Linked DNA regions of Oreochromis niloticus. The protein of the gene in region 1 purifies or fractionates together with the protein of each later gene. This does not show direct contact. Links are inferred from orthologs where the notes say so. Each region holds a gene or a part of one and is shown on either strand. Other genes may lie near its edges.

Region 1 (7,023 bases):
GTGTAAGGAAATGATTTTAATATTATATTCCCAGAAATATAAACGTAATCTGGGATCATCTTGTATTTTACACTCTTCTGAATATTTTCTCCAATTTGTGGCATTAAAATGTCCTTGTAGGGTCTGTAAAATAATAGACGGTGTCGTCATATTTTCTAAAATATTCATCTTTGTAGCTTTTTCTTCTTGTTTCTGGCAGAGCAGGGTTTTTATTTTCTTCATCCTGATCTGCACACATGCTGACTTTTCTATAGTTCTGATGTCAACCAGTAAACCTCAAACTTAATTTGCTAACAAAGGACATATTACATTTACTGTTTTATTCAGTTAAAAGGAAATCCAGGCCTAAATAATCATTCTTTGCTCAGAAGAGACAGCGGGAAATTTCCTCTCTGAAAATAGGCCGACTATAAATTCAGAGTAAAGGAAATGAGGTTGTGTTGCCTTTTTTAAAAAGATATTTATAAAAAAACATTGGATGAACAAATGCTTCCAGTATGTTTCAGCAATTGAAAATACTCACGATCTTTCTTTGGAGTTTGGACCTATGACTAACGCAGGTGAAACAAATGCCTACGACATCTTGGGTTTATAATAATTTTTCACTCATATCTGGTGAGCAGCCACTTTGTCAGATACACCTGTTCAACTGCTTTTTAAGATGAATAATAATCAGCCAATCACATCGCAGCAACTCAGGCATGCTGACATGGTCAAGGTGACCAAAATGTGGCATGAGTGTTGGTGCCAGATTTTCCCTCACACCCATCTTTTATAGAGGAGGTTCATAGAGAATCATCTGAAGAAGATAAAAACATCCAGTGAGCGGGTGTAAACACCTCGTTGATGCCAGATGTATGAGGAGAATGCTTTGAGCTGACTGGAAGGCAAAAATAACACCAATAAAGATTCATTACAACCAAGATGTGCAGAAGAGCATCTCTGAATGCACAAGACACAGCAGCAGAAGACCACACTGAGAAACCGAGACTCCATCTCTTTATTACGACCGTGTCTTCTGATGGCTGCTTCCAGCAGCATGACATACCGCGTCACAGTGCTCAGCTATCTCAAACACAACATTGGGTTCACTGAACTCAGATCAGTCCAGCAGAAAACCTGGGATGTTTTGAAATGGGAGATTTCCATTATGTGTGTCCAGCTGACAAATCTGCCGCAACTGTGTGACGCTAACATGGCAACATGGACCCAAATCTGTGTTTCCAACACCAGCCCAGCATGTGGCCAGCGTGTATATAAGATGTTTAAAGCAAGAAATGAAAAACCGAATGTACTTTCGCTTTAGTAGGATCTGATGTAGGATCTGTACAGCATTACAGGGGGGTTAGATAAAGAGTAAGATCTGTGGTCTGTAGCTGCAGAAACACAAAAAATGATATTTCATGACGATAAAGAAAAAAAATGTCTGGGCCTGCTTTGGATTTCACAATCAGACAGTTGTGGCTGGATTCTGCTTTTATTTTAATTACATGTAATTTTCTTTGTATGCCATGTTTGAGTTACAAAAAACAGGCCAGAAATAGTAACTGTATTTAGCTAAGGAAACTGTAGTTTTGTACTCCAAACATATATGTACAATATAAACAGCACGTATACTACAAGCATGACGAGTTAGTTGTGCTCTGCTCACCTTTCTTGTGAGCAGCTTGCTTTCTCCTCCCCCCCACTCCCTTTTTTCTCTTTTAATACCCTGAATTCACTTTCTTGGCTACAGACATGACTCAGAGTTCACATTAGTACTCACATTGATGGAAAGACTTAGCTGTGCTATGTTGGTGAGTCTGAGATGTTTGAAGGGGCGGGTGCTCAAAGTTAAAAAGAGGCACATAGAAACAGGCTGAATAACAACAAGCCACATTCATCAGGAATCTAATATGGAATGGCATCATACTATACAGAATATTGTCACTGTACACATGTACAGTGGGATACAGCGCATCTCCTACTCAGTGCAGACATTTGGGAAAAGAAAGGGGAGGTGCACAGTTCTGCAGCACTATATAAATAAATAAATAAATAGTGTTATATCTTTACAGTGTGAGTTACTGCACGTAAAATTAAGTGTTGCACAGTGGTGATGGTAGTTTGTAGTCTGTGTATAGAGGGAAGTCCTTGGAGTGGGGCTGGAACTGTGTTGTCAGTGCATGTGTAAGTTCAGGGTTGTTATGGAAGAAACTATTTTTGAGTCTGTCTGTCTTTGTGCTGATGCACCTGTCGCGCTTCCTGAGGGGAGCAGGTTGGACATGTAAAGGCAGCGGGAGGAATAAATGTCCATCGGGGAGGGGAGAGGGCAGCTGATGATCTTCTGTGCTGTCTTGACTACACTCTGAAGTCTTGCTCTGTCCTCCTTAGTGCAGCTGCCGTACCATACTGTGATGCAGTATGTCGGCAGACTCTCAATGGATGAGCGGTAGAAGGTGAGCAGCAGATTGGAGTCCAGTTTGTGCTTCCTGAGGACTCTCAGACTCTCAGACTCTGGGCCTTCTTGGCGACTGTTGTGATGTTGTCTGTACAGGAGATGCCAGCGGAGATGAGGACACCGAGGAACCAGAGGGTGTGGACCCTCTCCACATGCTCCCTGTTGATGTACAGGGGATCTAAGTCAGTGCTGTGCCTCCTGAAGTCAGCAATGACCTCTTTGGTTGTCTTGGTGTTCAGTGCCAGGTTGTTCTCTGAACACCATGCTGCCAATAATTACCGGTGTGAAGGCCACAGGGTGCTAATTGTTCAGGCTGGTGATGGGAGACTTCTTCGGCACTGGGATGATTGTGGCTGAGTTTAGACAGGGTGGGATGGCTGCCTGATATAGGGAGAGGTTGAAGATGAGGGTGAAGATGAGGGTGAGCTGGTGGGCACATGCTCTTAGCACCTACTCTGTCACTGTCGTCAGGTGGGGACAAAGCAAACTTAGCCTATGTTTTACCTGATAGGTACAATGTTGCTGTTGAAGGGTTGCTGCTATTCCCGTGTGTGTGTGTGTGTGTGTGTGTGTGTGTGTGTGTGTTAAAAAAAAAGTCATTAACATGAAATAATGCCTTTATAATGATTGCGCTTGTTTGACTATCCACTCTATGCAGGCAGAAGCTTATTTAATGTTTAAACTGCAGAGAAAGAATAATTTTGCTGCTGTAAAATCAGCATTTTTCACATTTGAAATATAAATAAAAAATAATCTGTTTCTTAATGTATTTTCTTTAAAACACTGTTTAAAAAAATATTGTAGTTATAGTAATGTGTGTGGATATGCATATTAGATAGTTTAGGTGAAATATAAGCCCTCCACAAAGGAGGGTAAGCCCCGTAACTTCCTTTAAAACTAAATATGTTCCCTATAACAGTGGACAGAGCTACAGACCCGTGGCACTCTTACCCAGTTAGCTAGCAAGTAATGACCAGACTACTTGTGCATTAAATAAAAGGAGGGGTAATGTTTGCCGCACTGTTGCACACACAGCACGCTCATTTGTTTCAGACAACTTACCAACGTGTACATAATAACCTAATACTCCTGTGTGCTATAGACTATAGTGTACACCCTACAGTCCCAAAAAAAATATCCAGACAATTGAAATATGATTCGAATTTTCTAGCAAACTAAAACAAAGGCTTGCTAGATTCCTTCCTGCCATTACAGCCCTCGTAACCCCCTACTGTTCTTCCCATTATGATGCCCCCCCCCCCAACTTCCATCACTACTCCTTCAATACAGTCCCCATCTTTTTGGAGATGACTCTCCCGGTGTCCACAGTCTGTCCACAGTTCACATCATAAATCTGTGAATTTTTAAACAGTTTCCACTTTGTTTGTTTTTGTATTTATTCTGATATAATTAATCCCCCCCAACCCCCTGTTGTGCCACCCGTTAATAAAAAACCTGGCAACGCCCCTGTTAGTTGACACTTGTCGGTCAAACAGCTGTGCGCGTGTTTACATGAGCGCGCGAGACTGTGAGAAGACTCACACACAGTGAAACATGTTATAAACGACCTTTTACGACTTTTATGTGAAAACACAAGCCTAAGCATCAGAAGCGCTCATTCTGCAGCTCACTGCCCTCTCGTACTTTGCATAGATACCGTCCTTGCTTCCGGACTTTTTTTTATAACTTGCGGGCTATAATGCAAGTTAACTTTTACTTCCTTGTACACACACGCGGATAGAGGAACTGGCCGTTTTGCGAGTGGCCTTTTTGTCAGCGCTCTACATCCTCTCCTGTTTCACTTTAAAACTTTCCAATCATGATTAGATAGAAGACAAACGAGCGGCGACTTTGGGGAGCTGTAAGGAATCGATTTCACTCACAAGGTAAGCCGGACACTTTACTTTTCTTTATTTTTTTCCTTCTTTTCTGTTTTTGGTGTCAGTTTTCTGGCGGCCGAGGTGTGACACAGTTCAGCTGGCTGAGGGGAAATCCGCTTTTTGCTGGCGGCAGCAGCAGCAGTGTGTGCGGGGCTGCAGAGGATGTGTCTGACCAGGCGGCTCAGCGTGCAGGCAGCTCCGTGTCAGAGCGGGACCGGTACCTCCGAAAGCCTTCACGCACGGCGCACTTTACATTTCTTCTTTGGGGAACTCGTTTTGAGGTGAACCGTTGGGCCCACGTGGAACAGTTTCACCCGTATTTAATTCCAGTCCTTCAAACTTCACTGTGTTGGTCAGGATATTAGACACTGGGCCCTCTGCGCCTTTAGTGTGGGGCTTTGTGTAGCTGTTGTGCCATTTTATTGTAGTTTTGCGCCACTTTTGTGAGACCTTTTCTTTCCCATAAAAGTTGTTTTTGTGTGATGTTGCATTTCCTTGTTGTTGCTTCTTCTTCTGCCTTGTTTGGGGTCATTTGTGTGCTTTTTGTCTTTGTTGGTCATTTTGCGTCAGTTTCACTGCTGGAAGGTATTGAATATTAAGAGGTCACAGATTACTAGTTGCTCTGCTAAAAATGTAATGCATGAATAACTGTAAAGAGATGATCTAATAATGTGGTTGTATTTTCAGCAAATTTTAAGTGACTGCAAGCAGCAGACCTGATTTAAATCAGGGTGTGCACTTATTTTAGTTCATGTCCACATAACGACTAAATGTGATCTCAAGTGTGCCAGACCATTAAAATCATAGCACCATAACCCGTAATGTCAATGTCTTTAAGTAAAGCACATTATGAAAACAATACGTCCTTAAAAAACTGTCAAACAAGCAAAGATATTATTGTTTTTTCTCCTCAAGTGAGCAATCCATCTATAAAACAGGAGTAATAGCATATATGTTTCCCACATTCAGTGACTCTGCTGTCTTTGGATCTCAGTGGAAAGGCACAAAGCTTGACATCTTCACGATTTAAACAACTAATTCAAAGTTCAGGTCTGTTCATGCCTGTGTGGTAAAACTGGCATCACCACACCAGCGGTAGTGTGCTTTTTCTTTTCTGAAAAGGTCTTTGGCACAGGATTGTGTTTTTTATGTTAGATGTTTCCTCAGCAGCACGTTCACTGCTGCTAAACAAGTTTTATTCTATTTAGAGCTGATTTCTGATTCTAAATGGAAAAAACTGTTGAATTTCCAGCTGTGCAAGGCACTCTTGTCAGACAACATGGCCCCTGCTTGGTATGGTTGGCTGATCACAGGCATGGACGACTGAACTTGCTAAGAGCATCACTGAGGCGGTGCGAATTCAAACCAGACAACTGTTCAGAATCAGTGCTCAAACTTTTACTGGCAAACCGTTGGGGTCTGTAGATGCAGAGGGAGCTCCTTACAAAGACTGTTTTGGAGATCTTTGGCTACGTGGAGTGAAGGATTACAGGAATTCAACCAGCACGCAAGCTGTGAAAAATACTTGCACACACTCTTCCAAAAAGCCAACGCAGCATTGCCTTCGTTTAACGCTGATTGGTTGAAAAGGTTAAACAGGAAAGGGAACGACCATAGAAGACTTTACCACAATGATAAAAAAGCACAAAAAACAACAAAGATCAAAGAGACATGGTTAGAAGCAGAGACGGTGGACAGTTTCCACTGTTTTTAGTTTCACAACACCACCAAGGTCTCTGTATGTCGTGACATTTATCTTCTCTGTGGCAGGGATGAAACTGAAGGACCAACAAGTGCACAGCAAGAACACGAGTTTCTCACGTTAGTGGCTGTCCTGCAGATCTTTATCTCTGCCACTTTGGCTATTGTCCACAGCGACAAGACGTAGACGAATTTCTATAAATCTCTACCTATCATGCGTGCACCAGTAGTGCTGGGACCTTATGCCCAAATGTCCACCAATCTTGTCCAGAGTTATGCAAAAGATGCCTTTCCTGCATGGGAAAAGACCAAAAACAAACAAAGAACACAATAAACCCAGAATGTGAGTTATACTGATGCCATATCAAACCATCCACCTGTCCACAACTCACAGAATCGTTAACTATCCTACAGTATGGGTCAGAACTGAATGAAGTTTACAGTCAGTGTGCATGTAATGGGTCTAACACAAGGTCACCGGTTTGTCTCTGTCATTCTCTCACACCAAACCAAGAAAACGCATCACTTTCTGTTTGTGCTTCACACACGGATCGTGAGCCAGATGAGCAGCTACATCAAGATTTCCCTTTATAATCACCAACGTTTGTATGAGGAGCTGTAATTTAATGACACATTTTCTTAGCGACTGAAGTTTCATCCGTTGTGTTGACTGCAGAGGTGGAGTATATCACAGACAGGGCGCTGACTTCATCGCAGGTTCGCAGTTAAATTTATTCAGGAATATCTGAACATAATTTTCTCTTCAGTTTGCATCTTGATCATCGTCTTGTGTCTCAAATTGTTTCTCAATTTCCTGGTTCTTTTTCTTCCTCAGTGATGATCAGTTTGAGTTCATACTGTGTCTGTTTTGTTTTGTTGTGTATCGCTTTAATTATTGTGTCCATCTACGGTCATTCGGTGTCTCCTTGGGAGTCATTTTGCATCTCTGTTTCTTTTTGTGCATCATTTGTCATTTTGTGTCTCTTGCTTTTCTCATTTTAA
Region 2 (7,591 bases), on another chromosome or scaffold:
ATTTGATGATGCAGTGTAGCCAAAATAGACTTGAATGAGACATTCTGCTACTTCTGCCTCTATATCCATAGCGTTAGCATCTTACAAGACCTGATGAGGTTTTACATGCACAGGTTCTGGACTGAGCACACGCTTTGTATCATTTATATCAGACCTGAGTGGGTTTAAAATACATACAGTCATGTCATTTTCTATGATATAAGCATATCTTCATTTGTGAGCTTTGAATGCAAGCTTCAGGCTTCTGGCAGAGACAAGCTAGCTCTTTCACCATTTTGCTTATTATACCTTATGCTAAGGTAGACTAATGACTTACTGGATTCAGCTTTATATTTAACAAGATTACAACTAGTAACAGTCTTTTGATCTAACTTTCAGCAACACCATGGTAACCAACGTTTCTGGTAGTCTAAATGTCATTAGCCATGGCACTTCTCACACAAACTCTAATATTTCAGGTGAAAAATTCTACGTTTTGTGCCAGATCTGGGTGTTACTGCTGTAACTCAACAAAGATTCGATAAGAATGGGAATGTCTCAAAGTAGTACTTTAGAAAAAAATATGTCGCAATGTCACTGCTACTTCCCTGTATTCTGACATGGTTGCAATTTATCCAATGCTGGTTTCTGTTCAGGGAAATCAAACATGTACGTGTTTGCTGCATTGTTTTTTCTTATTTTGACTTTTGTGTGGGTGGCTGTCTGCTAACCAGCATGAAGCCCACCACCACCAATGTGTACTTGCATTCTACATGCACACATACTGACCGCATGCCCACAAAGATGACAAAGTCACAAAGAAAGAAACCCAACAACCTTTTAACTGGTGATGTTGGGTTTTATAAGAGAGAGGTGTTATAAGTTTTAAAATGTATAAAAGTCAAAAACATTAAAAGTATGTATCTCCTATATTGTAGTTTTAAGGACAAACAAAGTGACATTTGTACCTTGATTTTAACAATGAAAATATTTTACAAAGGTAATGTGTGAACATAAAAAGGATTTTTATATAAGAGTCTATGAGGACAAGATGCTCTCAACAGTGAGGACAATTAAAACTAAACATCCTATGAGTGCGAAACACCACCTTTAAAACCTTTTACACTTACATTGTCAAGCAATGTGGCTTAAAAGCACAAAAACATAAAGCACTAAAATTAAACCAGGTCAAATAAACTTGAGTGCTTCCCTACAGGGAAAAAAAGGGGAAAAAAAGAACAAAGCATGTTGCTGTAGAGCAGAAGGGCACGTTGGTTTTTAACACCTGTTATTCAAAGTACAACGGAAAAATAAATAAATAAAAAGTTTATGTCGTTCTCCAGGAAACTAAAGTGCGCAGCTGAACCGCAGAGAAAAAGGGAACATGTTCAACTAGTCCTGTAGGTCAGCAAATAGCCTTTTAAATTTTTCAAACAGCTAGAACAGAAGTTCTAAGGAGATGACATATTCTTTGGTGAATTGTGTCAGGACAGTCAGAAAATAAAACAGGGCAAAACAAAAAAGAAAACCCCCACAAAAAACGAATTAGCGTGGGTTGTTTTTTTTGTTTTTTTTTTAGTGCTAGCTAATATGCTCTACATGCTGGCGCTAACATGTTGATTTTTAGCCACCTTTAGCATATGGTAGCATGCTAATGTACGGTATGCTAATTGGAGAAAGCACTGCTTAGGCTGGCAGAAATATTATTAGGTTATTATATTGAGGCATATTAGGTTTTCAACCAAGCCAAACAGCTTAAAGGAAATTTTGACTTGATAACATTACTATCAGTAATAGTAAAGTAATACATGTTAGGGAAAGAATATGACAAATCCCAACAACAGGGTTCACCTGGAGGGGAACACGAATGACTGTTGATCTGAAACTAGAGTACTTCTTTAGCAACACCAAAACCTAGCTTTATGCATGCTAAAAGCATTTACTTCTGTTGCTTCTAGGCTGCCGATAACACAGCTATCCTACCATATAATGTTAAAAATGGTTAATATCTTATATTTATGTGGAAGGGCTGAGTGCAGAATAAAGTTGCTGGACCTAGCTGGCCTGAATTGAGTTGTTTGACTAAGAGTTAGGGGGGAAACACAGCATTAACCTAATGCAAATAGAAAACAAGCACACCTGAAAACCAGCCTACAACACATTTGTGAACTGAGATGGCAGGGAGTAAATGTAAGGAAAAAGGCGAAACCATATTTTTCTTGGTAGAAAAAGGTCAGTGAATGAGTCCATTAGCCAGCGGTTTGGCAGGTTTGCACAGGCTTGTTTTGCACTTTGTTGGTTCAGTGCCTCTGTTATATTTTTAACTTGTCAGCAAACAGCCGGAAACTAGGGGTCTGAACGGCTTAGGGGCACACACGCACGATATATTGGACTATGACACACACACTTCCTCCTTTTGCAATAGACTGAGGAAAAGACTGGATACGTGAATAAATGCAGTGAATTTTAATGTTTAATCCGTCGCTATACCATACATGAAACCATACGAATAAAACTTTTATAATAGAAAATAAAGCATTGATTTTAAACATGTTGCACTGTAGAGAACTTTCCTTAAACTAATTATACTTCATGTGAGTTATGACAGTGCTTAATTAAGCACAGTCATGTGGATGCTTTATTAATTAATAAAGCATCCCCAAAAACACAGAACAAACAAACAAAAAATAATTAAATTTAATAAAACTTCTTACATTTACCTTTTTCCTACTAATAAAAAAAGTTACATACACTTTTACCTCTCCTAATGCGTCTGTGTAAATCAAGCATGCGTCTGCCTGATGTCACTTGGACTCAGTATACGTTACAGCTTACCTCTCTCAATCTGTATCCCAGGTTAAGAAAACGGTTAATCCAAAATGTAGAACCGTTTCACTCCTCAGCTACGTCCTCTCTGTGCTTGACATGGAAGTGGGTGACACACGCAGTGCGCTGGTGTTGAGGTGGTTTGACAAGTGGGTCAGCTGGCCGACCTGGACTGTTATACCAATGAGTGAATGAGGAACTGGTTGGGGATTTTTCTTTCTTAGTGAAACTTCCTGGTACAATTGTCTAATGATTATTTGCATAATCAGCACTGCGCGCGCGCGCGCACACACACACACACACACAGAGTGAAAGAGACTGAGAGACACAGCAGACAGATGGTTTTTCAGCGCTACACATATGGAAATACTATACTTGTTTAACCTGAAGTGGAGGAGAATTTTCCAGTGTGTCATAGAGTCCCTTTAATGTAATCCTCTTAAAAAACAAAAACAAAAAAAATAAACATATTTTATTTTCGTCTCATGTCCTTTAAAAAAAAAAAAATTAAATAAATCATTCTATACACTTTCTATCAACTGTTCACAGTTGAAGTCTAATGCACGTTTCATAAATTCTCTCACAGTGCTACCTGCTGGTCAAACCGCAGGCGTACAGCAGCACAGAAGACTTGCATTTTTCCTCTTGTCCAGTTTATTTCACTTTGTTTGACATGGAGAGTAGAAAATACGGTTATGCACATTCAGACAAACAGCTACAAATTTCACAGAATCATGCACCTGCCAAAATCCAACATGCTGAACAGACCAGAGTGAGCCCCGAAACAGTTACATGGCAGTTTACAACCTGAACAGCTGATTGAGTGAGGATTACAAAATAAACAGTTATAGCTACATTATCTTTAGTATGATCGACTTACTGTCAAGCTGGAGGATTACAGGAAGGTTATAGTTAGCAAAAATGGTGAAGAAAATGACAGAACACAGAGTTTTGTGCATGCGTGGTGGTCTGTACAGATGATAACGTCAGCTAGCTATTACACACAGTAGCAGGAACATAGCTCAGGCTCAGTGTCAGAGAAAACAAACAATGTTATAAATCCTGGAAGCTCCACGGAGTATTGCATATCTACATTTAAGGAACAGTTTGACATTTTGGGCAATGCATTTTCTTAGTTAACTGATGACAGATGAGAAGATCAATCTCTTAACAATGTAGCTGGAGCCTGCAAATAATTAGCTTAGCTGTCAAGTATAAAGAGTGTCTATTATGCTAATTTGCAGCTCACTAGTACACTAGAGTGTTGCAAGATTTATGATTTTTAGAATCCTTAATTATCTCATAGTGTTGGTTACGCACTCCCTGGAGGTCACGTCACCTCTCATCCCCCTGCACGCTGAAAAGTGAAGGTAATGCGGGGCCAGTGTATTATAATGTGAAGCCAACAGCTCTGATCCAAGCAACACTATGTGACAAAACAGCTCATCAATGTCAAATGAAATATTACATACTATATTTTAATGTGATTCAAATGCAACAGGTTTTATCAGTGACCTGTGTAAAGGTGCAAGATTTGGGTGGATTTTTTCTAATGCTAATCTTTTAATTGTAACCTGTAAGGATGTTTCTGTTATCTTATTCATTTGTTTACTTCATATTAGTTAATATGTCCATCTGCAGGCCACCTCAGCGCTAACCATAGACCGGACAACATCACCCATATGTGTCTGAATTCCTACTTTGAGCATTTCTGTCATCACCGTCTTGGTCTTTTGAAACTGGAGGTTAGGAGAGAGGATTGGATGTCAATGTGAACGCAAACACTCAGTGGTTAACAACTTGTGATTAACAAGTTATTAGTCAATGAGTAGATCCTAATAATCCTTCCGAGACTTAAAATGACCATAATTTACAAAACTGACTGAGTGTTTTATCTGGTATGATCTGATATGAGGGGCTGAGCCCATAAAGACAGCAGGAAAGTTTTTAGAGGCCATGTCTGGGGGTCATTTTCCCTTAGACTTCAATAGAACTAGAAATCGTCTTGGAACAGGGGTATCCCATAACCTCGTGTCGGTGTTGTTCCTGCATCATCTAGGATCAACATTGCAACTGACCAGTCATGTTCTTGTGATGTCATAGCTTTACAACATCAAGAAAAAAAACAACAACTTTTGGATCAAATGGTAAAATTTTCAAGTCCTTTCCTTATTATTTAATACCATATAATAAATGTATTATCAAGTTAGGTTTGCTGTTGCCAAATGACTCGTGCTGGTTTACTAGTGACAGTTTTTAATAGCATTCACTAGCTTCTTGGCTAGTGCTAACTGAATGCTCAGTTGCTATGTTAATCCTGGACCAACAATATTATTATCATGTACGAACAACACAACCCAGAGACATAGGATTGAGATCTTGCAACCACATCTATCGCCCCCTGGTGGCTATTAAGACAAACTCTAGCTACATGCATTATATAGCACATAGACATTTTATCATTTCATTAGCAAGAAAGTAAAGAAATGCATTTACAAAAATGTCAAACCATTCCTCAAAGGTTGTGATAATGAAATTGTTAGAAAAGGGTTTTAAAAAAAAGGTATAAACATTTTTTTAAACATGTACATCAATCTTTAATCACTGAGCGACTGACATTTAAACTGAGTGAAAGTGCAATATTAAGTAATATTGGTGTCAACAGACCACAAGGCTACTGCTCCGTTGCATCCTGCCACTTTCTACAGTACAGAACAGTGAACACACTCTTCAGCATATAAACAAGAAGTCAAACCGCAGCATTGTCCTCTCAGGTTTACTTCAGCCCAATCCATTTTCCTCTGCAGTATTATCAACTTAGCGTTAGCATAAAGCCATTAACTGGCAGTACAATCTATCAGCACCACTACTTCTACAGACATGCTACTCCCACTGTGAGCCATTACTTCAGCACATGTCAGTGGTCTTACAAATTGCTTCAACTACTACAAAACTCACAAAGGAGCCTCGTCTATTTTCTTCCTTTATTTCAGTCCCCCAACCTATAGTGTTTAGTAACTAAGACTGAAAATAAAATTAGCTTTACAAGAGCTACAAATTGGCCTCTCTGCTTACCCCCGATTCTGAAAAGCACCCTGCAATCAATCTGTTATTCTAGTGCACAGCAGAGCCACGCTGGGTGTTCACATTACAGCACTTCTCCAGTTGAATTTGGAAGACTGTGCCCTGCTTGAAGGCATATCAGCAGTGACGGTACTACCCTCCAGCCACCAGCCCACTTTGGACAAACAGGTTCATCATGGTGGGAGCCTCACTCCATCCTGCAAATCTCCGTCTGCGGGCTGGAGTGTGCTGCAGGTTAGCTGTTCCTCTGCTCCGCCTCCCTCTGAGCCGAAGAGGAGGAGCTCTGGCTGTCCTCGGTGTCGTCTCCATCTACAGAAAAAAAAATAGCAGGTTAGAACACCACATTAAAAACTTTCTGGATGCCATCAGCTGTGTAATTGTTGCTTTTTTTAAAAAAAGTAACATCCACTGTTTGCAATAACTTATATCTCTTCTGCTAGATGTGTTCTTCATCTGGAACAACCACTTCATTTGTCCTCACCCTCTTTATATAACCAAAAGATTATTACTTCTCCTGGTGGTAGAAAGTATAGCAGGGCTCATTTTTACCTTTGTTTGGGTTAGTTAAAGTACAAAAATAATGATTTTAAAGTTTTTAGTGTAGGTCGGTGCAAGGAGCACCCTCCAGAGCTGAAAAATGAAGCCAACAAGGGAGTGGTAAAAACTGCAGTTCCTCCAGGTGGCACTAGATGAGGTTGACTCTAAAAGTGAGTACACTCAAAGACAGCTTTGATCTCCATGTGTAGTTTTCCCATATTTTATAACTCATCCACCTGCATAACTGAGTTAGGGGCACTGTGCCCCAACACAGGCAGCTGCACCTGATCGCTGCCTGCTAGGACACGTCCACTGCTCTGAGTCCTTAAACTGGACGTCCTCACTGTGTGTGTTGTTGTATCCTTTTGGAGCATTTCTCTGATCACTATTATGGTTTGCTATTTGGTACAGACCACCTCAGAAGTTTGGCTCTCATTTTCACAGTGAAGACTAAGCATTACCTTTTCAGATCCTCCAGACTTCTTCCGGATGGTGCATGGCTTTAGATGTGTTAAGGCAGCATTACTTTTCAGCTTTCCGTTGAATTTGAAAGGTGTTAAATTTGTTATAGTTTGTATAAGTTCTTAAGATGTTCTGTAACTTCTATTTTTCTTACTTTTTTAAATATGTCCTCATATGTATATTCTCCTTGTGTATATATGCCTATTTATCTATTGCCTATTTAAAGCCTTTTTTGTATACAGAGACTAAAGTGAACCAGAGTCAAATTCCTTGTTTATGTGCACAAACTAAGCCAAATAAAAATTATTCTGATAACCATCTCAAACTCCTGCCTATATGGTAGATGGCTGCTCCTCCCTGAACCTGATTCTGCCAGAGGTCTCTTCCTGTTTAAAAGAACTTCTTTCTTCCCACTGTCGCCAAGTGTTTGCTCATAGAGGATTGTTTGATTATTAGGGTTCTCTCCCTAGTACAGTAGCATCTTTACCTTGTTGTGAATTGGCCCTATATAAATAAAACCGAGTGGAATTTATATACAGGACTTTGTGCGACCAGACAGTTAAATTCTGATTTCAATCCCAGGGGTGAGAGCCAGGTACACCCCAAACAAATCACCAGTCCATCACGAGCCATTCATACAAGTAATGCATTCTATACAGTTAACACAGTGTAAAATCATGGAGTCAACTGTAAACTCCATTAC

What was found. The genes of interacting proteins can lie anywhere in the genome.
Region 2: the proteins of plcg2 (region 1) and lyn purify together in Homo sapiens (affinity purification with western blotting; 3 studies listed by BioGRID, with this or other methods). This does not show direct contact. The link is inferred for Oreochromis niloticus from reciprocal best matches to the Homo sapiens genes PLCG2 and LYN.

What each region holds. Positions count from the first base shown.
Region 1 is NC_031972.2:2,876,495-2,883,517, forward strand, and holds the start of plcg2 (1-phosphatidylinositol 4,5-bisphosphate phosphodiesterase gamma-2), read left to right. Parts: upstream 1-4,011; 5' UTR 4,012-4,326; intron 4,327-7,023. UniProt on the Homo sapiens protein: The production of the second messenger molecules diacylglycerol (DAG) and inositol 1,4,5-trisphosphate (IP3) is mediated by activated phosphatidylinositol-specific phospholipase C enzymes. It is a crucial enzyme in transmembrane signaling.
Region 2 is NC_031982.2:5,597,878-5,605,468, reverse strand, and holds the start of lyn (tyrosine-protein kinase Lyn), read right to left. Parts: upstream 3,007-7,591; 5' UTR 2,815-3,006; intron 1-2,814. UniProt on the Homo sapiens protein: Non-receptor tyrosine-protein kinase that transmits signals from cell surface receptors and plays an important role in the regulation of innate and adaptive immune responses, hematopoiesis, responses to growth factors and cytokines, integrin signaling, but also responses to DNA damage and genotoxic agents.